Linked DNA regions of Lepisosteus oculatus. The protein of the gene in region 4 interacts with the protein of the main gene of each other region in a pairwise test. Links are inferred from orthologs where the notes say so. Each region holds a gene or a part of one and is shown on either strand. Other genes may lie near its edges.

What was found.
Region 1: the proteins of disc1 (region 4) and kalrna interact in a two-hybrid assay, tested with the Homo sapiens proteins (2 studies listed by BioGRID and IntAct). The link is inferred for Lepisosteus oculatus from reciprocal best matches to the Homo sapiens genes DISC1 and KALRN.
Region 2: the proteins of disc1 (region 4) and poly [ADP-ribose] polymerase tankyrase-1 interact in binary tests that used the Homo sapiens proteins (3 or more experiments, as listed by UniProt). The link is inferred for Lepisosteus oculatus from reciprocal best matches to the Homo sapiens genes DISC1 and TNKS.
Region 3: the proteins of disc1 (region 4) and rabenosyn-5 interact in a two-hybrid assay, tested with the Homo sapiens proteins (2 studies listed by BioGRID and IntAct). The link is inferred for Lepisosteus oculatus from reciprocal best matches to the Homo sapiens genes DISC1 and RBSN.

The regions. Positions count from the first base shown.
Region 1 is NC_090707.1:11,601,669-11,609,493, reverse strand, and holds the start of kalrna (kalirin), read left to right. Parts: upstream 1-4,824; 5' UTR 4,825-5,645; coding exon 5,646-5,712; intron 5,713-7,825. Other genes in the region: ropporin-1-like, read right to left, coding at 1,333-1,448. UniProt on the Homo sapiens protein: Promotes the exchange of GDP by GTP. Activates specific Rho GTPase family members, thereby inducing various signaling mechanisms that regulate neuronal shape, growth, and plasticity, through their effects on the actin cytoskeleton.
Region 2 is NC_090698.1:18,734,549-18,741,621, reverse strand, and holds the start of poly [ADP-ribose] polymerase tankyrase-1, read left to right. Parts: upstream 1-4,071; 5' UTR 4,072-4,119; coding exon 4,120-4,615; intron 4,616-7,073.
Region 3 is NC_090699.1:55,419,634-55,426,905, reverse strand, and holds the start of rabenosyn-5, read left to right. Parts: upstream 1-4,250; 5' UTR 4,251-4,356; intron 4,357-6,615; 5' UTR 6,616-6,778; coding exon 6,779-6,941; intron 6,942-7,272. UniProt on the Homo sapiens protein: Rab4/Rab5 effector protein acting in early endocytic membrane fusion and membrane trafficking of recycling endosomes. Required for endosome fusion either homotypically or with clathrin coated vesicles.
Region 4 is NC_090712.1:5,086,890-5,093,823, forward strand, and holds the start of disc1 (disrupted in schizophrenia 1 protein), read left to right. Parts: upstream 1-3,912; 5' UTR 3,913-4,577; coding exon 4,578-4,686; intron 4,687-6,934. UniProt on the Homo sapiens protein: Involved in the regulation of multiple aspects of embryonic and adult neurogenesis. Required for neural progenitor proliferation in the ventrical/subventrical zone during embryonic brain development and in the adult dentate gyrus of the hippocampus.

The DNA.
Region 1 (7,825 bases), on a different chromosome or scaffold from region 4:
AATGGCTGGGTCATTGGATCAATTAGCTACTAACCACCAAACAGGCTAGATAGGCTTAATGGCCAGCTCTAGTTTGTACCTTTTATTATATCCAATAAGGATTTTTTAAGTACAATTAAAGGATCAACTGTGATGTACTGTATGTACATAATTTGCTAATGATGATGGATCCACTGCAAGGCTGTTCTTCCATTGAACACATTTTGCACATTTATCTTTTTAACATAAATTTGTTTAAATGGAACAACTATTTTCAGCCTCCTCTAAGACTTCTCTAAGGGAGGATGTCTATTTTCAGTAATGTGGTACTTGCCATAAAGTGGAGCAATTCTGGCAGGAGAAATTCTGTCATACTTGCATGTAGCCTGATAGAAACTAGCCCTAACACTACTTCAGTCATGTAGTTATAAGGGGAAGTTAAAATGAACATACTGTATGCTTATAATGTCTGTTAAAAGACATCAAATCTTTAGTTCACTTTTTTGTGGAAATGATATACTGTACAGCTTATGGAAAGTACTAATTTCAGTTCAGCAATTGCCTAAAGCGTAGTACATGGCCTTCAAAATATAAATATTATGTCCTGAGCATGAACCAAATACTGTAATTCCACTACTGAAATTAGAAAATTAACTTTGAGGGAACCATGACTATTTGCTGGGCCAAATCTCAGCACTGCTGCTACCAGGTTTTCTGTTATTAATGTTGCATCTTCTCTCAACTAATCAGTAGTGTCAGTTCCTCTCTTTGTTTTCCTTTTCATTTGATTAAATATCCCCTACATAAAGCAGCAACTGTGTAAATATATTTTTTTCTTCTCACACAGCTATTTGATAAACTGATCATAAGAGCACGTTCACTGTGCCATTAATGAAATCAGGTTTATCCCAGAAGAGGAGATTTCAGAAACACATAAACATCATTAGTGAAACATTATTCTATTTAATCTGCCATTTTTAAGATAAGACTGGGTATAATCTCACACAACAGTTAATAAAAGTTATATATTCTTGGTTCCTAAGTACTGTGTTTACAATAATATAATTTAAATGTAAAAGTCTAATAAGCATACTACAAAGGAAAAACACCTCTCTATAAAGCAGATATGCTCCTCTTGGAGTAAGTTAATAAAACCTAATGCTTGTACAGCTATGGAGTATTTTTTGAGAGAAAAATATTGAAGAAACACTTAAGCTATCACTGCTACCTACTGTAAGTTGCAGGCTTTTCATTAGACCTATGAGATCCCCACTTCACAAGAGGAGAATCTATACTGCAATATTTGATTCCAAGCTGTTTTGAGTGCAGTATTTCAATAATGGAAGAACTTACATAGAAGACCACTCTAGCAGATCGGCTGGCTGTGTTCTGATAGCAGCTTTAGTAAACTGCTTCAGAATGTCTGGTAGCTCTGGTGGGATGATGACTTGCTTTCCAGAAAGAGGCATTTCAGTGCCCAATCTTAAAAGATCAAGATGAAATGCATATTCATCAGAAGAAAACCAACGTAACAAAAACAGATGCTAAGAGTCTAAAATTGCTACAAACAGTGGAAGGTGTCAGACCAGCCTTTTCAAGGCAATACAAAGTACATAATCGCGAAATCAAAACTATCAATCTTTCACCAAGAAACATTTTTTTAATTAATGAATTGCCATGCATTTCAGAACAAACCAGAAATAGTCAAATTAATATACGTGTTCCAATATCTCTTTCTGCATCTCGTTCCTTTTCACTTAATATATAGAAAATGCGCCAATACAAATAATAATGTATTTTATACAGACTACACTGTACATAAAACTATCACAGCGCGATTTCTTAATCAGGTCTATAGACATCTCATTAAATGAACTGCGTGTCTTGTTCTTTTCAAACCTGTTTTTCTGTCCGTTTTCTAAACAGTAAGTGCAGCACGGACTGGGCTACGTTTTCATCATTCCGATTACAGTGTGTTTAGTGCTCTAAAGACATTTTTCAGTTTAAAAAATCAAAACATCGCCTTTTATCGTGAATCCCCACAAGTTTACCGGTATGTACAGGCGACAGAGTCTATCATATGAATAAGTCCTTAAATCGATGCAGACCACCTTCACCATAAAAAAGTACTTAAATAATGCATTTAGAGTATATCAGTCTGTAAAAGTTAGAATAAATACAATCGTCTCCAGACCTCTAGACCTTGACTTTTCTGAACAATGCCCAGTCGCTCTAGTTGATAGTGTCGTCAAAAATTAGAAACTTGAGAAGAGTGTTCAGGTGTGCAGCTGTCAGATGATTTGACCTGATGTTTAACAAGGATATTTTATTCGGTACTGTGTGTATTGTGATGTAGCTGTGACGAGATGGGAGACAGGATTTCTTAAGTAAGCTGTGAATACTGTACATACCGTACCGTTTCATCATGGCAAAGTAATTTAAAACATTATTTTACATTGTAACGTTCCTAATTATTCCATTCTTATTTCCGCGTTAATCGGTAGCAACGCACTATTCTCCAGAAAAACGGAAAACCGCCTTTTCTACTATAAGAGAATTGTAGACTATCTAGGCTTCAAGAGGGTGACGTCACCTTCTGCAATAGGTTCAGTTCTACGGAGCCTTTCTAGGATAACATGAATCTGTTGGCTAACAAGCTCTTTGCTACTCCTTTTCCTTTTGTTACAAACCAAACGGACAGAAGTTCTCTTTTCTCTTACAAATAGTATTCAAAGTATAGCTTTAAAAATAATATGAATTGGTAGAGACCAAACATAATTAACTGTGTACGATATGACCGTTCCAAAAATGTAATATTGTTAATGTCTAAGTCTACAACACCAATGAAAGCCTTTTTTCAAAAGCGTTACTATTCTTTTAATAAATTTGGTGTTTCTATGTGTAATGTGTTTGCTTATAAAGAATGTTTCCAAATTATATATTTTTATCAACTTTTTATGGCAGGGAGCCGTTATATCTTACAACTCATACAGTATGTGGTAATCTTGGAGTAACGAGAAATCTTCTGCAGTACTAGTCGTGTATAAAATATACCACTAGGGGGCAAATTATCTCTATTTTTAAAACGACAATGGACTCGATTTTCCTGTAATTTATGGCCCTACAAATTTTGAGTCACCACAAAATCTTTATAACCTGCTATTTTCTTCGCTTTAAGTTTTTTTTCTCCTTGTCCATACTTGTTTCACTTATTCTATTCAGTGGCTTAGCTTTACAGAACTTCTCATGTTTTATCCTTGTATGAGTCACAGCTGCTACCTTGTGAAATTAAAATACGGTTGGAACCACAACTATTGGCATAAAGTCTTTATACTAAATATTTTGTATAATAGACGTTTTAAATAGAAGAGGTTCTTTACTGACGTTTGGCGGGGATAATGGCAAACAAGCCAATTTCACCCAGTTGTTCTAAATCATAATCATGAATAATCTGTATCACAAGTAAACACCTCTTTTTCGCATTTTGTCTCAGGCCTCCTCTATCCATTTTTACAACCTACCCCTTGGTGAACTCCAATCCTCATCCTATGGGCAGGGGGCTATCTCAAAACCGAGCAGTTTAATGCCGAAACGTATTATACTACAAAATACTTAATATTCACAAATGAAATCATTATTGGATGTCGTTATTCCTCGTGAATTCTTACCACTTCAACGTTTATTCAAACCCTACATTTTTCAGTGCTAGTTGACACATGTAGGCACATTATTGTAAGATACATGTTGACAATAGTTAAGCCGGCCACTGCTCGGTGAAGCCGCATACATAACTTTTTACATACCTGTGAGATGAGCTCATTTACTATAAATTATAACTATTCCACCACTATTGTTTTTCCAAGATGCCTACCTTTAAAAGAATCCTTCACAATACAATTGAGAGTTTAAATCTGTAGAAAAAAAAGAATGTTGGACACAGTAAGAGCTTGGCACGCTATATCCCAACTGCGTTGTCTGTTAACCAATTGACTTATTTGTTACTACAGTATACAGTATGTGTAACAGTTTAAGGCCTCCACGATTTAAAAAAATATTTTTAGATTGCAAGTACGTTACTGAAACAAAATTAAAGAATTGTGCATCCGTTAAGGTCAGCGATGCTTAGTAATGTTAGCTTATTCTATGACATTACATTCTTTCAACGAAGAATGGAGTAAGAAACGGGTCTATGGACATGTTGTAGGTCTTTTTCCCCCCAAATTTACAATGTTCTTGACAATTTGTTGTCGCTTGGAGGCGGTAGATGACCAGAACTCTGGTTGAAGATAGCAAAATTGCCTTCGTTTCTGATAAAAAAGGAGCTTCGATTTTCAGATACAGCGTGCCTTTCCCATGACAGATGGTTAGGGCTGTAACTAGTATAACGTCGCTATATCTGGATTCCGGGAATATACAGAATTGCACAGCCTGTAATCATTTTTACCACCCAAGTCGGTTGTGTGTAAACACCCAGACATTTAATGACATTTGGGGGATATGAACTGGCCGCTCATTGATGAATGAATCGGGTGACTCACCCTGCACACACAAAATGAAAAAAATATGTGTGCCAAACATGGTATCTTCTATGACTCATCTGCATGGCTATTAAAATAACTGTACACATACCGTGCATTCCTGAGGGCATGATGAGGTCAAAACAGGAGTGCAACACAAAGAGCCCCGAACCGAAGCTGGCAGGAGCAAGTTCTTTAGGCAAAAATATCGCGTGAAATTCAGGTACTGCAACTCTGGTTGTCGAAGTAATTGGACTTTCTGTGACTATACACTAGATGGTCAAATATTTCTAGTTGCATAAACTGGGAGCTGTATGCTGCTAGACCTGCCTACGAATATATTGGTTATTAATACGGGAAAAAGGAGGAGACGGGGTAGTGAGAAGGAGGGGTGAAAAAGGGTGCGGAAAGTCACTCATTGTCAGAAACGTACACTTATTTTAGTCGCTTTCTCCACACACGAACAGACGTACTGCCTTTGAGAACAAATGAGGTTTGTTTAGATAAGGTTGCTTTCGGAATTAGCAAAATGTAGGTACATGTTTATTTACATATATTTGGACACAGGGTGATATGTTATCTCTACCTACTCAGGCTGTGTCTCGGCACCAGAAACAGCATATTGAAAAACAGAAATCCGACGTTGTAACTACTGTATTTCAAGATCAAAACCCCTTGCTCTGCACCAGTCACTTACATTATGCAGATTTGTATGACATCACTACAATATACTGCCAAGGTACAGTTCTAAAGCAACCATACGCTGATTCCTTACTCTGTGCAGCTAATTGTAAGGATATATACAAAATAATCTCGAAAATGTGCAAACGCATAAACTAAACACTGCACATAGCTGCAACATAATTTGCAGAACAATTTATTGCATCCTCGTTATGTGTCACATGTGCAGTGGATTGCTTTTGTGGCGCCGGAGCTGCTAGAAAGAGGAGGGTGAATTCTGAACAATAGAGAGAAATGCAGCGCTGTTCTTTGTAATAACACGGACGGAAACCCACGATTGGAAAGCGAACAGCTGCGACCAGGAACACAAGAATATGGAGGGGATCGTGCACTGATTCTGTGAGACACATCACTGGATATACTTCGAGTTACATTTTCCTTTCTGAAATCCACGGGAGAAAGAAGAAGATGAATTCAGCCGAAGCACCCGATGAAGGACTGAATGATTCGGATGCAGACGCGTTTTTCAAAATAGGTAATGGGTTATTTTTTTTCTGTTATCACACATAACTGAAAGGAAATGATTCTGCAGCATCCTGTGAAGGCGAAATGTTAATTATACATTGTGTACGCCTGAGCATGTATTGACCCCTGTATTGACACTGAGTAAAGGAAATCAGAAAACACACGAACGATCATCACTTCGGCCTCAATAGCTCACGTTATGTATTGTACCGGGTTGAAGGAACTGGGTTCCCAACACTCCTGGGAGAGAAAGATTATTTCGTTTTGTGAGAGAGGTGGATTAAACAGGAATAGGATCTCGGAATGTATAGTTATATTAGCTGGTATAGGTGCGTTTTAACGTATGTTTTCTTTCGTGTCGGTGTGCACAATCTTGGCTGATCTTAGATTTTTATAGCCTATAAACAGGGAGTGACTGAATGAGAAAAACATGCCACATACACGCAAACAAGCATGTTGCTGCCGAATACTTACATGTAGTCTATCCCCGTTCATTCTGTATATTGTGCATGTACGTATGTATGCAGCCATTTCTGTCTTTATTTGCCTTTCTGTACACACGTACACATTGGATCAGTGTACACATACATAAGCAAGTGATGTGTAGGTATAAGTATGGTAATTTAAAAGTTAAACTGTTAAACGGTTCATTCAGGGAGTGATACATTTAAATATAGAGGATTAGTATCAACCCATGCTTTTGCACATTGTAAAACCGTAACGAAACTGTCACCTTAAAATTTATAATCGTGTAGCAGTCCAGTTCTTTATACTTATTAAATATATTATTTAAGTTTATCCATCCTGTTGCGTTTTATTAGTATAATTCAATATGATACAAATATGGAATACATCGATAATTTATTATTGAGAGTGAGCACATGAATGTAACCATATACAGTATCTGTATTTTCCACCCTAATCTTCTCTTGTCTCTTGTTATTGTAGTTCCTAAAATGTTTTGGTAGATATAGTTAAATAATTTAGATTTCCTGTTGACAAAGTGATTGTAGGTCCTGGAGAGGATTAAACAGAAAAAGGGAGTGTCTTCAAATTACCCATCACCCTCATCAAATATGTTTGTATCCTTTCCTAGCATAAACCTTCCTTTTGAGGGTGTTTTTTTATTCTGCACATGCAATGGAGATGTTAAAACATTAAAATCTGGATTAATCATTAAATCCATTAGACATCTGCTCTTTGGAGTGACATCTAAACCATGAAGTCAAATAATCTGTCTGAAACCACCAGACAATTGAACACCATTTGCACTTTGGGCTGTTCCTTGACTGAGAGATTCTGGTTTCACTATGGTGACTGTATACCCTCTAACCCCCCAAGCTGAAACTTAGACACAAGCCACAGGATAGCCTTTATAAACCTTAGCTAACCCTATTCGTATTATGCAGGTAAAAATGGCACTTTTTTAAAACTAAATTCGTACTGTAGCATTTGTGTGCTGTTGTTTTTAATTCAGTTTGGATACATGGTGCTGATGTTGTCAGTCTCTCTGATAGCTAGTGATGTAATACTGGCCAAGTCAGGGTTTTTCAATAAAGAGCTTACGTTTTGCTGTACCATAGAACCTGTTGTATACCCGTTTAAGTTCAAAGGTGTGTTTTCATTCTCGTGGCAATTTCTTACAGAGTAACTAAGAACAGAAAAGTAGAGCCAGCTGGAAAAACAAACAAACAAACAAACAAATTATTTATATGAGAAAACGCCAAACTGAGTTTAATCAAATAAATCCTATAATAACGCTGTTTTTGCAGAAAATGAGGGCAGTGTTATATCAGTGTGTTACAGCTTTGTCAAAGTAGGCCAAAGTTGGCGCAAAGGTGTGGTTTTCCAACATATAAAAGTTTCAGACCAAGTAAGAAGAAGGTTTCTTTTATTCTTTATTTGGTCCACTTATATGAAACCTACCAATTTCTGTTTAACATGCTCTATCAATGGGAGTATTGTGTTGCTTTTAATTTTAGTTTGAATTCTACTTACATGACATGACAGAGTGAAGAATTCAGACAGGTTAATCAAGTTATTGATTCATGACAGCTTTTACACACCAACATATTTTAGTTATGTAGTAAGTAGTTTTATTTTTTTTATGGGTGCAATAGAAT
Region 2 (7,073 bases), on a different chromosome or scaffold from region 4:
CTTCTGAACATGCAATGAATTCTCTATCATAAGAAAAACAACCAAATGAACAACAATTAAATTATTTTCAAAGCCAGTGTATAAGACTTTATAGAGCTCTGGTCAAACAAATGTGAAGATCTGAAAGGGTAAGTGATTTGCTACTGTGTAGTGTAATTTACGTCAGTTAGGATTATCCTATAAATATTGTATATTAGGATTTACCACAACTAGGTACTCTGTGTTAACATTCCAATTGGGTTCTCTTTTTGTTTGCTTTACATAAAATGATTTAGCGGATGTCACGGCAAGACATTAAACTAGAATGAATACAGGTATTATTTTCCCTGATCTGAACAATGCTATTCGTAGTCTCTGTTCAAGTCAAACAGTAGTTCTGCAATGTTAAATAATGGATTTTCAGCTCACACAGCTTTCTTCAAATCACAGAGAGCCCCAGTGAACTGTGTGGGCTGAGTGAATCGGGCTTCACAGAATTAGGCAAATGTCTTATTTTATTTCCAAATTGACCTGTGTTAACACAGCTTATTTTAGAATAGCAGATAAAAGAGGCTTCTGGGTAATACAAAGAAGACTGCATGGAGCTTCTTTCTTTAATGACAGTAGTGTCATGTGTGTTGGAGACATAGATTAAGTTGAATGGCATGTTGTCATCTCATGTCATGTCATGTCATTCGCCAAACCGCTTTATACCATCTGGCGGAGGGTCGGGGGGAAAAAGGGGAAACAGGACCAGGCGCTCCAGGTCCCATACTCCACTGGTACTGGAAACCAATGCAGAGCCCGGAACAGAGTGAGCGTCTGGCTTAAGTAGGGAGGCAGGAACTGGGAGCAGGTGCACAAAATCAACTCAAATGTGAAAGAGCCGGAGAGCCCTTAAGTGGGACAAACTACAATCGTGACTGCAACAAATGCAAGGCAGGGTACACCCTGGACACCCTGGACGGCTCTCCAGTCCATCCCAGGGCAAGTGCAAGCCAATCATACAATTTGGAGGCCACGGTAAAGCCAGAGGGGGGAAATTTGGCCTGGGACACCGAATAACTCCCTAATCTTATTGAGAAATGCCCAGGGATCTTTAATGAGCACTGAGAGTCAGGACCTCAGTTTAATGTCTCATTTTAAAGATGGACGGCATGTTGTTTATGGGTTAAATTAACAGACCAATGGAAAGTAAAAAATTGACCTGTTTGGTACTGGTTTGCACTTTGTATTGCAAAGATAGGTAAATGTTTTGTTATTTTTTTACTCAGTTTAGTCATTTTCTTTAACTTTTCTCTTACACACCTGACTTAGATGCAAAACCAACAATTGGTTTTATAGGGATCATCAATATTACAAACTCTTGTACAGAGCATCAAAACAAACATATTACTGAAAAATAAAGTATATAAATATTGGATATTAATTAAATGTTCTTGCCATCTTTTTGACTAATTGATACTTCTGAGACTGTAATACACTTAAGTGACTTCAACGGTTGTATAATCACTAAATCACCTAATTAGTGAGATAGTCAATTGGACACAGGTGATGAGGTGGTTTTAATGTCAAACCTTGTAAAAAATCGAAAGAGAAAACCACAGAAAAGAACCAATATTAAGAGGATCTTTTATCAAGGGAACAATGCCTTCATGCAATCAATATGTTGGAAGCTGGACTAAATGAATTCATGTGGACATGAAGGCAGTGATGCCAAATCCTCCGTAACAATGAATCAGGGTTTTGTGTAGCCCCCCCTGATAGATTTCTGCGAACGTAGTAGGGATGTGCAGAGTGTCATGCCAAGCGCTGTGTACAACAGATCGATCAACAGGAAGATCCAAATATGATGGTCTGGGCAAGAGTGTCCGGTCGCTACAGCAATCCCCTTATAACACATCCCAACTGCACACTACTTCTCTGATGAAGTTCTGGGGCATCGCTTGTTGCTCCTCCTGTGGACTCATCCAGCTGTGATAACATTCCAGACAGCCAAAGTGAGTCCTCCTGTTGCTTGTGTAACAGCTTTCTCTGAGTATGCGACAGTGGTGTCAACAATGTCCTGCTTCCAAACCTTGAGCCCTATGGAGCATTAGTGGGATGAACTGGGATGATGTGTGCCATTTTAGAGCTCAGAGACAAGTGATCTGACCCATGCTTGACCAGGATTTACACAGGCAATGTAACATGTCAAGATTTTAAGCTTGAATTCTTTCCAGCAGGGGCCACACACACTGGTAGCCTGTGACCCACTGTTAATCAGAAAAATTAACTTATCAATGTTGTGGCAGTCAACCTGCTGCAAAATGTTTTTTTGTCATAATTGATGCTATGTTTACAATTAAAAGTTGATTAAATTCATGTCAGTTTTTTAAGAAGATGCTATGTCAGTAATTTTTGTTGCTTATGGCGGACACTCCCTGGTTCCTTACCAAGATGATGTAATTATGTATGAGTGCATTTCAAAACATATTAATTATATGCACAACATGCTTTAGAAGAGGAATAAGAGCACTGGAAGTAATTACTATGACAATGAGTGATGTTTATTGTTGCCATTTGTGAAAAAAAAAACACAATGAAATTAATTAGCAGCATTTGTTTCTATTTAATATCTCCAGTGTCAGGTTTTCATTAAACATAGAAAAGTAAATTGCATAGGGATAAAGCTGACACATTATTCGATTTTTGCATTATTTTAATCTTAAGATAGATGGCTTTATAAAGAGTCCACAAGCAAATGTGTTGATTAGTCGTCATGTACAGGAGACCAAGTAGTTAAGAAACATTTTGGTTTCCACAATAAATGCTACAGTGAAGGAGGAGGTGGGGGTGGGGGTTGGAGTATGCTGAGATGAGCTTTGATTAAGACCTTCCCAACATTAAGAGCAAAATAAGACTGACTCCATGGATGGTCTTTCTAATTTAAGACAACCAGCAAAATCCAGAAATGCAGGAGAAACTTACTGTAAGTTAGCATTGTAGATGTTGAAGTGATAAAATTGGGTAAAAAAGGTAATACAAAGAACCGATTGTGAATCTGTTACAGTTAATCACACAGTAGAGTATGGAAGTAGAAGCATGGGCAGATGATATACTGGATCCATGATTTTCCTGGGTGCAGGTGAGTTGACAGGCTCATAGAGACTAGCAAATACTCATTTCTATTTCTGTATCCTCCGTTGTTAAAAGCTATCCTGGAGGCTTGTGGCTCATCATGTTTGAGCTCATCTCAGATTTCGTGGTGTTAAATGGACTAAGATTAGATGACTTTGTTGTATATGACACTAGCCCAAGTAACTCCAGCCATGCTTGTGTCCATTCATATGGGGTACTTAGAGTCTACATAAGAAAATCAAATCCACAATCTTCCAGCTAGTACTCTATTGCTGCCCCTCAATTGTTATCCACTAAAACCTCAGTTTTTCTTATTACCATGATAAATCTGTCCAGTAATACTGCATGGGTTCCAAGATGTACATGTACCACAAGGATGTGGTTTTTAATTTTCTCTGCCATGGCAAAAATATTATCCATCTGGGTTTAATGTTTCACTGTGATTCTGCTGCACTCTGTCGTGTTTATTTCAAAATACACCATAGAACACCTTTAGAAGGGAACCCTTGAAGGAACACATTGAAAATTTCAAGAAGACCATAATATGTCAGGAATCTGAGTTCGATCAAGAGCTGTCTAACCAGATTTTTGGATTACATATGGTAACTGTTAATTTTGGATGCTATGGCTTTAACTATTCAACAAAGTGTGTTTATTTGCGCAGAAAACGAGGCGAAACATTTGTACCAATTGACTTTTTTTTACATTATTTGTTGTGTTTATCTTCGTTGCAAAGTTTTAATTTGTCAAAATAAATTGGAGTAGTGTTCAAGGGTACTTTTATTTCGATGTATGTACATAATGCGTGTTATTCTCCTCATTTTCTACTGAGTTTCACTTCTGCCCCGGCTCCAATAAAGTCCGTACAGCATATATTTGCGCTACGGGATCGTCTGTCCTTTGTTAAGTTGTTTTGCTTCTGCGATCATTGGCTGTCCACGTCCGGAAGCACGCATTTGCTTGTTTCCCGGAAGTGAGCGGCGCTGTTTTTGTTGCCAGAGGGACTCCTGTGTTGTGAAAATGGCGGCGTCTCGTCGCTCGTCTCATCAGCAGCAACAGAGCCTGTCGTCCCCTCCGCGGAGCTCCTCTCTCTCCCCGACTCCCCCAGGTTCACCTCTTGCTCCTGCACCCGCAGGGGCTGCAGCCACGGTCCCGGTTGGCGCCGACCAGGACAGCAGCGGGGAAGCGGAGATCACGCCGGCCTCCCCCGATCTCCCCGCTCCGGCCCTTAGCAGCAGCAGCAGTACTGCTAGCAGCAGCGGCGGCGGCGGCGGCGGCTCCACGACGACAACCACCGGCGGGGGCAGCAGCAGCAGCAGCAGCGGCGGCTCCAGCCCGGACTCGGGCACTGCAAGTCCGGGAGGTAGCGGCGGCGGCGGCGGGGGGGCGTTTAGGGAGCTGTTTGAGGCCTGCCGCAACGGGGATGTGTCCCGGGTCAAGAGGCTGGTGGACTCGGGGAACGTGAACGCCAAGGACATGGCCGGGAGAAAATCCACCCCGCTTCACTTCGCGGCCGGTCAGTATTTCGCTGTGTGTGTGTTTGATTTGTTTTCTATCGCTTGACATTTGAAGTCGCTGTTAGGATATGTAAGGGCAGCCCTGGAGGGTGGTTGAAAACCCGCAATAAACGATTAAAGCGCTGATGATCGACAATTCTAATCGAGAAAATAGGAGGGGGGGGTGGATCAAAGTAACTGGAAATCCACGCTTCCATCCGGGAGGCTGCAGCTGCTGTGGAATTCGTGTCTTTGCACATTAGAGTTGCTTCCGTTTTTTCGATGAGGTCGGTGGAGTGGGCAGCGTTGTGGTGGTTTAGCCGATGAACGCGGATGCCTTTTAACTGGAGTATAACTTTGCGGCGAGACTTCGCTGGTGTTTAGCCCTCATCTGCCGAGTCTGGGGGTCGTGCCAGTTTGAGGAGAGGCTAGTAACACCTGAGCGAGCATAAGCTGTCACGCCACTCCGCGACGTGTCTGAATTAGTTCGCGCGAAGCTCTGTTATCCCATCTGGGTTTTACGAGGAGAGATCCGTTCAAAACAACGTCTGAACTGAAGTTTGGGAAGTTGGGTTGAGCGTTTAAACGAAGCCCAGGCCGTGCGGGTGTCCGCATGTTGTGTGCGCGCTGTGGGAGCGGCAATCCGTGAAGTTGATTATGGAGAGCTGTTTTTTTTTTAACACGGAGATAAATAACTTGTGCTGTCAAAACGTGACTTTTCGTCTGTCATTTGTGGGGAACACAAACTTTTCAGGGCGTGTGATTGCAATCAAGATGAGACCGATTTTGCTTCATTTTCCACGTAATTACAAGCAAAGTAAAATCGAAACTTATGTTGATATACTGAGAATACTGTCTTTGAGAACCTACCCTTTAAAGGTGCTATATAAAATAAAGTTTATTATTATTATTATTATTATTATTATTACTGGGAGATCACATGAAAATTACTTTCCAGTTTAGGCCTTGTCTGGGTAAATGCTTGTGACAAATGGTCCAACACGTGCTGACAGACCTGTCAGCCAGTGTGATTTATTTTGCTGTCTGTAGTCTGACACACCTGCTCAGATAAGGGGGCAGAAAAGACCCCAAGTCTAAGATTTTAAGACCACCATGTTGGGTCCTCCTGAATGGACCACATTGTCCTGAGAAAAGCCTAACAAAAAGTCAGTACTATTTTAATGTACCATTATTTAATAAATTCAAGATCAGATGTCAAAACCTTCCATTTGTGTTGCTTTTATTTGGCTGTAGAACAGCAGGTATGTGTATTTATAGCTGCAACATGCCAGGACACGCCAGGGTGTTTTTCTACAAAAAGGTGCAAAATGTGTTAGGAACCTTTTAGAAAGTATTAAAATATTCAAAAGTCCCACAACCAAAACTTTGACAACTCTATTTTTCTCAGCTTCCCTTGTGGTAGCTCTTATTTTGTACTTCAGAAAAAAACTACAAAAGAAGAAAAAAGTGTGGAGGTTGTTCCAGAAATAGATCTGGCAATCCAGGTGTATGGCAGTTTGAACATTTCTCAGGCCCTTTCTCTGCGTACGTCTTGTCTAGCAGCTGACATGGGTGGTGATAGGAACATAACATGAATAACTTTAACATCCATCCCGAGACTTTTCAGAAACTCTGAGAGAATTCCTCAGATCTTGCTTGATAAAATTTAGAGCTACTTCACACCAGAGATGTATTTTCTTTCATATACCTGCTTAACTGTCCGAGTCTGAGGGATTGTCAAAAGTACTTCACTGACAGTGCAAAATAAACGAAAGTGCCAGTATCTTCCAGTGTTATAATCACATTGGTTGGCAAAAGAATCACCAGAATATGACAATCACTACAGAGAGCTTGGCTTTTCTCTGGATTACACTTGATGCCTGCACCTTCCTGTGTTATATGAAAACTGTCTCTAAAACCTGGCATATGACCTAGTGAAAAAAGGACTGTAAACTGGATATTATCAGCGCTTCACAGTCTTCTGCTCAGGTACTCCTTCCTTGCAGAAAACGTGGTCAACATGGGTGAAAGCATACATTTACAGATGTAGAATGTCTACTGCATATTCAGTATATGTGTATATAGATATAATGCTGAGACCCTTTCCTACTTATTTTTCTTTACTTGCCTTGGAGTCATGGGGGGGCAACACAAAATGTTAAGCTCAGGATAAAAGTGTTTGGCACACATGCCAGTGTAGGGATTCTGCAGCCCTGTCTGGTCAATCAGCATTTAATGTTGAAGAAAACACTTTATTTAAAGAAAAAGACAGCATCATGTTTTTTTTTCCATCTCACTCGCATAAAACCTATTATTTGCGGATTCTTACTTAATGTAGAGAAATAGCCGAGTTGTTTTATGTTGTGGGAACAAATAGAATTATTCCGATTTTCAAATCCTTCTTCCTGACTGGATTCAAACTCTTTTTAAGTTTTTCAGTTCGGGCCATAATTGTGAATGGATTGTGTATATTAACCA
Region 3 (7,272 bases), on a different chromosome or scaffold from region 4:
CCCAAACAAACATTCTATTCCCCCTAAAATTCATAGAACACTATTTCATATAAACATAGTAGCAACAAAGATGTTGTATTGAAAGCACTTTAACAGAATTCAACTCAATGCAAGCTTCAATCAGGATCATATATGAAAGCACTAAATAGGAGATTTACAAATATTGTCTAGTTACTGTGTATTCGAAGATGTTGCAGATAAATCATATCTCTGTTCTTGTCTTTCTAACCATTTCATCAAAGACAAATAACATGACTGAGTGTTGAAAATATTTATTGCCATTCTGAATGTACAGAACAAATGTTTCTCCTAACAAAACCAGTCAGCGTTTATCCATCCACCCATTTTCTAACTGCTTCATCCAATTCAGGGTTGCCTATCCTGTAAGCAATGGGCACAAGGCAGGATACACCCTGGATGGGACACCAGCCCATTGCTGGGCACACGCAGACATGCACATACTCACACTAAGAGCAATATTCCCAGAAGCCAATTAACCTACCAGTATGTCTTTGGACACTGGGAGGAAACATGCAAACACTGGGAGAACATACAAACTTGACACAGATAGCACCCCAGGTCATTAATCAAACCAGCACTGTGAGGCAGCAATGCTAATGACTGTACTACTATGCTTCCTGGCAGCAATTATTATGATATGATATTTAAGACAAAAAGAATGATGACATCTTGTACATCAGATACATGGTATCTGAAAAGCTCTATCTTCAGTTAACAAAAGTTCCAACAGTTTCTTCTTAGTACAAAGCCACAAATGATAGCATTCAGTAGTTTAACATTATTCCTTACAAGCTCAATGCAATTTCAGAAGCATAGTTTTGAATTCTGTTGCTTTGCTGTCTTATCCTAAGCACGCAGATCAAATACCATGAAAACTCTAAAAATGCCAAGTATCATTTGCCTTGCCAAACAAAAATTATATTATTACCACCTATTGCTGGTCTTCAGGACAGAAAAGCGGAAATTGGTCTGGGGTCTAAAATGATTGATGGGGCTTTTTAAATTCCACCAGCTCACGTATATACACCTCAGTGGTGCTTCACAGTGGCAGCCTTTTGCAACTTGAACCAATGCTGCCACCCAGTGGTTGAAGAAGAGTTTATATAGGTTATATAGACAGAGATCAAGTTCAAGTTTGTCATTCCAGCCATATATAAGTATACAGTGTATACAGTATACAAAATATCATTCCTCCTGGTCCACGGTGCAATTACAGATAAGACACTGACATGGACAATGTAGACAGGACTAGCAATGCTAATATTAATACATACGATTGTGCAAACTAAGACAGTGGCCATGTACACAGGTTATATACATGGTGTAATTTAACTGTTGCAGAATAGTATAAAACAATACATCACACAATATACACTAAACACTGGGGGGATTTTAAACCTTGTTTCTGGAATTGGAGTGGGTGCAAGTAAGTACCCAGGTGTTGAGAAGCCTAACAGCCTGTGGGAAAAAGCTGTTACAGAATCTGGTGGAGCGAGCCCGTATACTGCAATATCTTCTTCCAGATGGTAGGAGAGCAAAGAATTTATGGGAGGGGTGGGGGTGGGGGGGGTCATCTACTATACTGGAAGCCTTGTGCATACAGTGTTTGTGAAAGATGACATGAATGGAAGAAAGGGATGCTCCAATAATGTTTCCAGCTGCTCATATTTTCTCAGCCACAGACCATTTCAACAAGTCTCCTTTGGATTTCCAGTTTTTAAAAGGCGCATTTATAAAGTGTAAACTAGTTAAAGTGTATCTCCTCAAGAAGCCTTTGGAAAGCAGCCATTTTCAGTTAAGACCAAAATGTATCGTTCCTTTCTAACCATAATTGTATTTCCAAATCCAAACAATGAGTGCAGGTTAGATAGAGGATTTATTCTTAGATTACAACTCTAAACTTTTCAGGACAAACCCAGTCAAATTCAGAATCTTGGGTCTGTGTAAGTGTATAAAAATAAATGGAGAAAGTATCATGCAGAACCCACAAGATCAGCACGTACTGTATGACGGAATACTGTTCAATTCATCAGGAGTTTTATTGATTTGTTCCAGCTCGGCTAACACAGTGGTTAGTACCACTGCCACAGCTCCAGGATCCTTAACTTCATTCCATTTGAAATCCAGTTGGAGGCTCTTGCCTGCGTGAAGTTTGTTTTGTTCTCCCCACCTTCACAGAGGGTTTCATCAACAACCTCTTACCCTCCCAACCACATATAGAGTAAACCCAGCATTATCCATTTCATTAACAAAACGCTCTCTTCATTACTCTGCCCTGTCAGAATTGCTGTGGACTTGTTCCGTGGAAAACTTAGGTTCTGAGTGTCAGTGAGACATGACGCCTCTCTTGGTTGTACTTCTGTGGAAAGAAATTTCCACAATGCATCATGCTGCACAAAGCGATAAGTTTGCTTAATACGAACAGTGCAAAATACAAATCCTTTTATATTCCGTGAAGAACTCACATTGTTATGATTTTGCACTCCTCATTAGTAGAGATTTGCAGGCTGACTTCAGCAGGAACCGTCTTCGACAAGAAGGCAGTGTTTCAGGTGTGAGACGAGAAAACAACACTCACAATAGAAAATCAATTTTAATGCTCAATAAACACAAAATTTCATTTAAAGAAGAAATAAAGGGTTTTTAATTGGAATAAGACTTCCAATTAAATTGGACAGACAGAGACGCAGTTGTCAAGTCAACCTTCATTATGAGTATAACAAAATGTGTATAATGCAAGGTTGTATAAGACCAGCTGCAATCAACACTTAACAAAAACTATAACACAGGCCAACTTTTGATTTCCCATATTATCGGTGGCACTCTGGCTAAGGATCTGCACCTGTGGCTGGAAGGTTGCTGGTTTAAATTCCTAAAGAGGGAGACTCCAGATGGCAGCACTGATGAGCACAAAGGAGGAAGAAGTTTTTAACCTGGACCAAATGAAGCATCTCCCAGAAGCCTTAGCTGGAAAAAACAGGAAAGGATGACTCAGCATGAGATGAGCCAAGGTTCCAACTAAATAAAGTACAAAACAAGATTTAAAGACACTGGATTAAGCAGGACTTTCATTTAAAAAAAAGGAAGAGTAGCAGCTTCTGGTCCACAGTCTCCACATTTTAGCATAATCTTAAACAACTCAAGTCCCTGCCCTTAGCTGCTTGCAAGAAATGGCTAGATGAGATTCTCAAACAACCAGACAAAGCTAGATGTACTGAATAGTCTCCTCTTGGTTGCAACCTTTCTTATGCTCTTAAAGTGGAAAAGAAAAAAAACAATAAAAAAGGCTAACAGGGGTTTTTAAAAAATTGAAAAAAGTCAAAAGACAAAACACACACTGGTGAGTTCTATCTGCAGTGATAAATTTTAGGATAACCAAAATAACAATAATACAAGAAAAAAGGAGGAGTGATAACAAACAATAATAACAAATGTGATATCTGTTCAGGCACGTGTTGTGTAGTAGATTTTTTGTTTCCCTCTAGTTTTGCCAATGTGTCTAGACCAGGGTTCTTTAATCCTGGTTCTGCAGGCTGACAAATGAAGAGCTGGGACAAGCTGGTAATGAATGAACTGGTCACATCAAATATTCATCCATCAATTGTCTCACTGCTGTATCCAATACAGGGTTTCTGGACACTATCTGGAAAACAAGGGGTGTAAGTCAGGATGCCCCCTGAGCGGGATGCAAGTCCATCTCAAGGTACACACAGACCCATGTGCACGTTCACACTCACACCAGGGCCAGTTTTCCCAGAATCCGGTTAGTCTATCAGTATGTCTTTGGTCTGTGGGAGGAAAATGGAGCACCCCAGAGGAAATTCACATGAACCTGGCGAGAACATACAGTACAAATTCCACACAGATAGCTCCCCAAGTCTGGAATTGAACCCAGGGTCCCAACACTGTGAGGCAGCAATACAAACCACTGTGCCACTGAGCCACACAGCAATTGATGATGAATTTTTCAGACTAAAATAAAAAATAAATATATAAAAAAAATGCCATGTATAATTTGCTTACCAACAAGAATTGTTGGTAAGCAGATGTATTCTAATGCAAACATTCCTTCTGAAAGAAGTCATACATGATATGTAGATCAACTGTTAATCCACATGCAACAGAAGACCCCAGAAAATATGTTTTAGTGCTGTATGTCCTCTTTGCCTTCCTATCCGCTACACTGCGCTGCACTGTAATCACGTGGCACGTCATGTGACTGGCAGGGCCGTGGGTAACCTTTCACCTGTGGAGAGTGTATTCTATGTAGCCAGCGATCGGCACCTGTCAAAATATACTGTACTATCAGTAAAAAAGATCTACACAGCGTGATTTGTGAGTATTAGCGCCTCGATTACTTGATCCGTTTTGTATGTACGACGGATGATTGCTTTTCTCGCCTGGATCGGGTTATTTTCTGTTGTGTGATTTCTGCATTGTGTAGTAACAGATCCAGTTCAGCGAAAGAACACTAAGGTTTTCCTTATCGGTTTGATTAATTTTTCAGGTATTCTGATGCTGAAACTAGACCGATTATGTCTCTTTAATTACTGCGTTTGCAACACAGTGTTTGTTTCTGTTACACGATTAACCAATAACATTTTGTAAATGAAACTTGATTAAATCCCATCAAGAGTTTGTCTTTGTCATATATATTTAATGTTACTATAGACCCAAAACATTAATGATTATATGCTTTTAAACATGCCACGCGAAATGCTTCGTGAGGGTTGATAATAGATCTTTAGATTGTTTTTGTGGTTTTAGTGAGTGAGTATAAAATCATCTAAAAGTATAGTGATTAAAACAAAACGCTTAAGAAACAGCGGATCCCAAGACATCCGTGAACACGTCCTTATTGTAATCGACAGTCAAGGACTACTTACTTGTCTTGTTCGTCTCCATTTTTTAAGCCTTCAAGCCTTATTTCACACAGAGAATAACCATGTTGTGTTGAGGGTTACAGAAGATTTGCACGACTCTTTAAGGAGGCGATATTGTGAAGTATTCACCAAGTGAAACAAATCCAATCGGCCACCCCATGCCTCTCGGTAACTGACCGAAGAGTACGAATCAAGCCTCCTGCTACCTCCTTCAAATTGTGCTCGTTTGGAGCAGCCGTCCTGGCCTTTCGTGATTATAACGGTTTTGTGTAGCGCTTTTCGCTAAATGGTTTTTCTTTTTGCATTTTCAAATTTTAAAACAGTATTGACATGCTGTTTTGAGTTAAAACACTGAACACTTCAGCTGATAGAATAAACATTAAATTGTTTTAATTTCTTTGGGTGTGCCTACACGCCTGCGTTTCCCGTCAAAAGAAGGCCATTAAGAAGCCATTGAGAGGTGTGGACCTTACAAGCGTTTCATTATGAGAAACTCAGCTGAGGCTTTTAACATCTGTACGACCTTTTCTGTTCTAGTATACTGTTCCCCGCTGCTGTTAGTGAATTTAGTATATTGCACCCTTTTAATATGTGCTGAAGCCTGCAGCTCTGATTTCTGATTGCAGGCCCAAGGGATTAAATATAACAGGGACAATGTTAAATTAAGAGCAGCTGTCTCTTTTTTCTAGTCTGTGATGAAGATAAGGAAGACTTTATAGTGCTATTAAATCAAGCAGATTAGGAGAAAACAGACCAAGAGTTGTGTGGTGTATTTCTAAACCATTGCCTTGATTTGTTTTTAATCTGGAATTGCCAATTAGTGTTTATAATACAACATCCCAATTTTTAATTACCAATTAAAAAAAAACTTGGCTATTGGCAACAAATCCTTTACCAATCCTTACTCATTAATTGAGTGAACTTCAGGCTCCACAGTGCCTGACACAGTCAGAATTAGTTTTTTTCAGGTATCCATAGAACTTCTCAAACTTCTGTGTCCTGTATGTTTAAACTATTTTAATACTCTATATTAAAGAGTTCTTGTTGTCATTTATTTTCATGGTAAACAGCTCAGTGAAATGTTACTTTTGTGTATAAACCATTTCTGTATCATGTTTTAAGAGTTTCACATTTTTGCTAAAACAATTATTTACTTCGATCTCATTATTTACTTTTAGTTGGATACAGCAGTACTGAAAAAATATTAATACTGAATTATTGCAGTGGTAGTGAAATGTCTGTGATTCTAGTTACATCATAGTCACAAGCTGAAAACTAACTATTTGTATTTACTGTTAAAAACATGCTTTCTTGACTGGTTTATCCATTTAAGGTTTCCTGATATAATTCCATAATGGAAGTGCAATGCAGGAAGTAAATGACTCACACTCCCACTTGGAGAACAATTGGAAAACTCCCAATTGGAAAATGTAATGCATAGAAGCATTTGTTTCTGTTTTAATACTTAATGTTGCAAAAATGAAACTGCTGTCTAAGCAGGACAGTGCTGTCTGATTGTTGAATGCCTTATTGAATTCTGATTTTAAAGCATTTTTACACTGTCCCAACACAAGTTCTTCATTCGACCTGTCCTGTGCTTATCACCCACACTGTAAAATATTGAATATTTTAAAAGTAAGAAAATCATGAATGCAGTAGCTCATAAAGAAAATGTAGGTTATTTTTACTGAATGTTTTGATGTTTTTTTAGGTTCTATGTGGGTGGCTTATGGCCATGGAAGACCTAAAGGCTAAAGTTTTCCTCCGGCTTGGAGCACTATGAGGCAGCCATATTGCTCTGGGAGAGCCTCTCTCTGGCACCAGCAGTTCCGTTTCTCCACAGCTTTTGTCTACCAGCAGCCCGCATTTCAAAAATGGCATCCAGCTACCCACCTCCGTTCGAGGAACAGGGGGAGGTGAGGGAAGGCTTTCTCTGTCCGCTGTGCCTGAAGGACCTGCAGTCCTTCTACCAGCTCCAGGCACACTATGAGGACGAGCACTCTGGGGAAGACAGGGACGTCAAGGGACAGATAAAAAGTAAGAGCTAGCTTTAAAACCTTATGTTAGGTTAGGCTAGGAGCTCTATCACCCTGCAACTCATAACTGACAACTCACTGAAGCTGAGCAGGTGTAAGTCTGGCCAGTACCTGGATGGGAGACCTCCTGGGAAAAACTAAGGTTGCTGCTGGAAGTGGTGTAAGTGGGACCAGTAAGGGGTGCTTACCCTACAGTGTGTGTGGCTCCTAATTCCCCATTATAGTGATGGGGACACTGTAAAAAAATAAATAAAAAAGGCACTGTCCTTTGGATGAGATGTAAAACCATGTTCCCGACACTCTGTGTGATTAAAAATCTCAGGATGTACACT
Region 4 (6,934 bases):
GAAAGAAGGTGTCATAGAACTTGGAACAAGAAGCCCTTTTTGTGGGTGTCTGAACATGCTGGTTTGCTGTGTTGAAGCCATGTTCCTAGGGAGCCTTCAAGAAACAGCAGGATGGGATACTTGCATCAATGAGCTACTTACAGCCAAAGGCAGTGAGTGAGTTGAATGGTCTGCTCTTCGGTGTAACCATTTTAGTTTGTTGCTGATCTTGACTGACTTTATTCTCTAATTGCCAAAATGTCAAGGAGCAGCTTTCTCTCTTACAAGTGAATACAGCAGTAAGCTTCCATGTGTATGATAGTCACAAGTGTTTCCTTAAAAAATGCGGTGAGTTAGATTAAAAACTAGCGCCCATTCACTTGCCAATTCACAAGGTCAGGCACAGATCAAATATCTATGCCTCACAAAATATCATGCTGTATGTGTAATATAAACGTTCAAACCTTTGCTTAAAAACAGCACCATGCAATACTCCAAACTCAGAGCAAAAGCTTAATGCTTAGCAAATAAGGTAGCTAATGAATGGGTTAACCTAGCCATAGCAATAAACATGTGTTTGAGCCTGGTCAGTACCTGGATGGGAGACCTCCTGGGAAAAACTAAGGTTGCTGCTGGAAGAGGTGTTAGTGGGGCCAGCAGGGGGCGCTCACCCTGTGGTCTATGTGGGTCCTAATGCCCCAGTATAGTGACGGGGACACTATACTGTAAACAGGTGCTGGATGAGACGTAAAACCGAGGTCCAGACTCTCTGTGGTCATTAAAAATCCCAGGGTGTTTCTCAAAAAGAGTAGGGGTCTAACCCCAGCGTCCTGGCCAAATTTCCAATTGGCCTTTACCAACCATGGCCTCCTAATAATCCCCCTCTATGAATTGGCTACATTACTCTGCTCTCCTCCCCACTGGTAGCTGATGTGTGGGGAGCGTTCTGGTGCACTATGGCTGCTGTCGCATCATCCAGGTGGGGCTGCACATTGGTGGTGGTGGAGGGGAGTCCCCATTACCTGTAAAACGCTTTGAGTGGAGTGTCCAGAAAATTGCTATATAAGTGTAAGCAATTATTATTATTATTATTATTATTATTATTATTATTATGTGCAACTGCAGTAGTAGTGAACATAAACCCGATTTATTAAAAATAACTGCAGTTCAGCATCTTCCCACTAGGTGGCAATGCCGAGCTACGGTTGAACTTTTTCACTTTTGCTGGTTATCTGCGGGGAGACACATCTTCCTCAGTGGCGAAAAATGAACCTTCGATAGCGCTGCTGGGTATATTTTGTCTTTAACAGACACTGACATTTTTGTAAAGAGCAAAAGGCACGCACGGTGAAACTGTGATCCCTCCACCACCCTTGCCCTTAACGTGTCTTTATAAACTCGGATTGAAACAAATGTGTGTATGAACCTGCACTTGACCAGACTGAAAGAAAGAGTTAAACGCCTCATTTAATTTAATTATATTCTGTTCCTTGCGACGCAATGAACAACCGAAAGGGACACGACTTCACAGCCGCGGTACAGTTTTGCATCTCCCAGAATGTCAACTGAAAACGTGGCAAAGCATGGCATATTCATAACCTCTAATGCAGTTTCTTTGGCACCCGGTGTATTTTTTATCATTTTGAAACTAGATCTCATTTCCAGTTTCAAGCTTGGCCAGCTGGGGGCCAGTGTGTAACGCCTTCATTTATTCTGCAGCTGAAAGGGTAAATGCCTACATGCCATTCTCACCCGGCTTGGTTTAAAAGGCGATGCTCTCTCACAGAGAGTTCATGTCTACCGAGACAGGAGAGGAGACGGGGAACAAGTGCACCTCTGTTTAGAAGCAGCATGAAAGAACTTGAATTACAGTTCGGCGGAGTGGATACGTCCCCCACCCCGACACTGCGACCATACAGTAGACTTCCAAGCAAAGCTCCGTTTCGCCACAAAATGGCCCGGGCATTCCTTTTGGCTCTGGCTGCCTGGAAGAGCACATTAGAGACAGCGCTGCACAAGCAATGTCTTTTCATCTCCTGTTAGAGGGGCTCTGTTAACTGCAGTACTGATACATTGATATACTATTAATATACTAAGATATGTGGTGGTGTTTGGTAGCAAAAGGTAAGAAAAAACATTATAAGTTAGGCTTTCACATGTTTTTACCTTATCAAATTATTTTAATTCTTAAGAGAGGAAGGGGTTTTGCAGTTTGTGTTTCACTAGAAATGATCAAACCCAAGGCAACACTTTGGGAACAATTTCTTATGCTTTCCCTCTGCTTTTATCAGGTCATTCTTATTTGTAAAACTCGATTCTGCTTACATGTGTGAAGTGCATCATCACAGGGCAGCACATACCTCTCATGTCTGAGCACTGAGCACCTGCTCTGCCACCAGCACTTGAGCGCCTAACCTCTGCAACTTGCAAACACTGAAGTCTTGCTCATACTGTATACTGTAACTCACAACTGGCAACCCAGTGGAGCTCAGCAGGTGTGAGCCTGGTCAGTAACCGGCATAGGAGCCCTCCTGGGAGAAGCTGAGGCTGCCGCTGGAAGAGGTGTTAGTAGGGCCAGCAGGGAGCACTCACCCTGCAGCCTGTGTGGGTCCTAATGCCCCAGTGTAGTGACGGGGACACTATACTGTAAAAAGGCTCCGTCCTTTGGATGAGACGTAAAACCAAGGTCATGACTCTCTGTGGTCATTAAAAATCCCAGGGTGCTTCTCGAAAAGAGTAGGGGTGTATCCTGGATAAATTTCCCATTGGCCCGTATCAATCATGGCCTCCTAATAACCCCCATCTCTGAACTGGCTTCATTACTCTGCTCTCCTCCCCACTGAGAGCTGGTGTGTGGTGAGTGTTCTGGTGCACTATGGCTGCTGTCATCATCCAGGTGGGGCTGCACATTGGTGGTGATGGAGGGGATCCCCATTACCTGTAAAGCACTTTGAGTGGAGTGTCCAGAAGAGCGCTATATAAGTCTAAGAAGATATTATTATTAATTATATAAGGGTCCTTACACACAAGGCCATCTCCACAGTACCTTTGGATAAAAGGGTCAGCTATATACTGTAAATGAACAGTTGCAGTCTAGTCGATTTCAGTTTTCCATTTGGGGGCAATGGAGTATTTAAAAAACAGTTACTTTAGTCTGTTTCACAGAGTTGAGGACGTTGGAGTGGAGTTGCTGCTCCTCTGGATCGAGAGGAGTCAGTTGAGAAGGGCTGGGCATCTGGTGAGGACCCAGGGTGGACCCAGGACAGGCTGGGGGGGGAGGGTTCTCTCAGCTGGTCTGGGAGCTCCTGAGAGTCCCGCAAGAGGACTTGGAGACTGTTGCCGGGGAAAGGAAAGGAAATTCTGGGCTGCCCTGCTCGGCCAGTCATCACAGCAACCCTCAGCAGGAGCAAGGGGCTAGAACATGGGTGGATGGACGTGAAAAGGTCCAGTGGGACTTTTGAAAACCTCTCATGTCTTAATTAGAATCAACTCTGTACCAGATTCTGTGTTTCAGAACTACCTGCGCACAGGTGTGACGTCGGAAATGGAAACGCCTGGACCGCCTGGCAGATGGAAAGCAAAGCTCGCTGAGGGTGTCTGACACAACGTCCGTCTCGCCTGGATCTGTTCATCGGAAACCCATCACCTTCTGGGGGCTGTGCACCGAGAAATAAGGGTTCGCAAATCGAGGAGAGATTGTTTAAAGTCCTGTGGGATGTTTTTGTAGGCCAAACTATCTTAGAAGGGGGGTGGACACACATCATAGGGGGGATTGGAAATTCCTGCCCAACAGGAAGACCACCGCCTTCATGTCCATCGACACCATTTGACACATTTTCCAAATGCAATACAGTTTAGTCTTTAACGGGAAAAAAACACCCGCTTTTGATATTCAGAATGAATGGTGACCATTTAAGTGGCGTCCCAACATAATTTCGTTGTTTAACTCGTTTGCACATCCAGCTAGCGCTTCCCAGTCACCCCAGAGCCGAAGGAGGCGGCTCCGGCACTGCGTGCGGTTTCGGATTTCATCTCACGGCCAGAGGAAACTCCTGGGCTTCACAATGGAGCGCATAACGGCATAAAGCGCCGCGGGCTGTATCTGGAATACGACGGCAGAAAATGTTAGCACGGAACAGAAAGCGCCGAGCCTTTTTTTTCTGCGTAACCCTTGGAAGATTGCGCCGCGCTCCGTAAAAACAAAATCAAACTGGCGAATGTTATTCTTCCCACTGGGAAGTGGCAGGAATTGTCATCAAGCGCTGCCTGGGATTTTGCCTGGTTTAAGGGCAGTGCTGTTAGTGAGCTGCAGGCTGAAGACGAAACACACTAAAGACACGCCGGCGTCTTCTTTTAACGCAGGCCACACAGGGGACACAAAACGCGCAGGAAGCGGTGCGAGTCTTGGAATTTTATTTTTAGGGGAAACACTTTCCCGAGCGGAAATGACTTCAGTGTGATTTTCTTTCTGCAGAGCTCCGCCAGAGAAGGGAATTCCTAGGCAGACTGGAAAGATGTCCGTTTTCACCCGTTCATCGTTTCTGGAAACATAACAGCTTTTGTTGTTTTGTTTTGTTTTTTTGCTCCTTGCAAAAAAAATGTTTACCGGGATGGTGAAGGTAGGGGGCGAAGTCCCCTCCATGCCGATCTCTGACACTGACAGCATCACGCACGTCAGCCACCGGCACCATGCTGGGTTCAGGCCAGGTAATTATTGGCGTTATTTACTATAAAGCGTTGCGAGGTCTAAATCTGTTCAACTGCGTTGCGCTTTATTAAACACGATTGACATCATCGGTGTTTTATGCATGTTCTTCTCTTATGTTATATCTTCTTTGAACGTTAATAGTTTGCGGTTCGATAACTGTAAAATACTGTAGTTTTGTTTTACAATTCAATGTCCGCACCGGTTTTTGAAGCTGTAAAAACTCGGATTTGAACAATGTTGCGAGTTCGATTGATAAACACAAACGCCCCTGAAAACATTTTCACATCTATTCATAGTGTTGGTTGGTTTCAGTTGTATCCAAATGTTTATTTATTTTTGCATCTGTTTTGTGATCACAGTTACCACTACCCGCCTGAGCCAGATTCGTTACAAGAAATTGCACTGCGGCCAACTTTTGAGCGAAACGTCAGCCGAGTTCTGTGAACTGCAAGTTTGCAAGGAGTTTTTTTGGGGAAATTAATCGCGCGTGATGAGCACAAAAACGGCATGACCCAAAATGTTTTTTGAAATGCTGAAACATGTAACACAATATATGATATTTTAGGAAGTCACGCAATGCGTTTATAAAACCTCTGACTGCCCTTAGGTTTTAAAGTAACACATCTAGCCCTGGTTAAAAAAATGAAATTTCCCATGACTGCTGTTTAATTCAAATTTGTAGATGATCGGACGTTAGGCTAACTTTTTTTTTAATAATCTGAAAATTCACACTGCAGGGATTTACATTAGAATTGTGAATTAATCTGTGATCGTCGCATTTCTACAGTTTTTAACTGTAGTACGGGCAAGCAAGCATTTTAGACGTGTCTCCTGAATGACACGCACGCACAGAACGCAGATCTGAGGACAAAGTTGAATTTGAGATGTTACAGCACAGCAAAGCTGCGTGTCCGACGTTCAGTCCAATCAGCTTTCCCAACTCGTCATATCACAGGGAACTCGAGTCCTCAACCCTGATGCAGATACTGTGTGCGCTTTTCCAAGACAGCCTGAAAAGTTTACCCCCGTCTTCAAGATCAGAGATGTTTTCTATTGTTGTTGAATAAACATAGATGCTACTTGCTAGTTTAAAAACAAACGAAGGCCCCGGTGCTAATGTCAGAATTGTTTGTGTATTTATTTATGCATAAAGTCGTCTCTTAACATAAAACCAGTCTATATTAATCCAAACGTCATTGGCCTGAATGACACGATTTTCCAACAAGGGAAGCCATATTTCTAGTAAACCTGAAACTAGTGAGCACATAAAGCAAGCACACGAAAAACAAGGTTTTTCAGATGACCGTTAATAAAGTCTTTGAAGTTTGATCATGTGTGGAGCTTGTTTTTCAAGTTCTCGCTGACATACATACTGTATGAGTCTGAGCAGTGAATCTGCAGTATGTAGCATAAGTAGACACTTCACATTAATCTGACAAAAAGAATTTGAATTCTGTACATTTTGAATTCTCTTTATCAGTTTTTTTAGCTTTGTAATCTTACAGTTTTGGGGTCTGCATTTTCACAGGCAGAAAATCCGATAGAGGCAGTTTTACATAGCATTCTGTATTTTGGAATTATCTGAAGGGAGATTATTGTTAATAGAGAAAAAAAATATTGTGGAGAGACAACAGAAGTCAAATAGAGTACTCTGTACCTCAAGTTGTGATGTTGTGCCTTTATTACAGAAAACAGAAACAGAAACATTAAAATAGTCTGTAATATTGTTCTTAGAAGCTATGAATGGTTTTCTGCTGGTTAAAAAACGAAATTAAAGGTGATGTAGAATAATTCCTCCACAGGAAAAAAAAATGATTTGTTTATTTGCGTTTTATGCTGTATCGGTTTGCCATTAATCTTAGTCTGTCTTTCATTTATGCTTTTTAAAAAGCAAAGAAATGTAAAAACTGTATTATGAAGGCCTTTCGTCACTGTCGTCTGCTGTATCTTACTAGTTTTGACATTTTTATTTCTGTTCAAAGGCCATTAGTCATGTTTTGTTGCCTGAGCAGCCTAGAGATTAAAAATGATTATGGAGGAGAATCGCTTTTGTTTCAGTTACTGGTATTGGACTTCCTTATTTCTTGTTAAATTCTTACTTTCTTAAAATACCCCTTTTCTGTTGCACTTCTTCTTAGAAAAGATTTTGAATTTTCTCATTTATTTATTTATGCCTACAGGCAACGTGCTTGTGATAGCTTTGTGTTTCCACATGACTTAACAGGATGTTTTCTGTATAACTTTCTG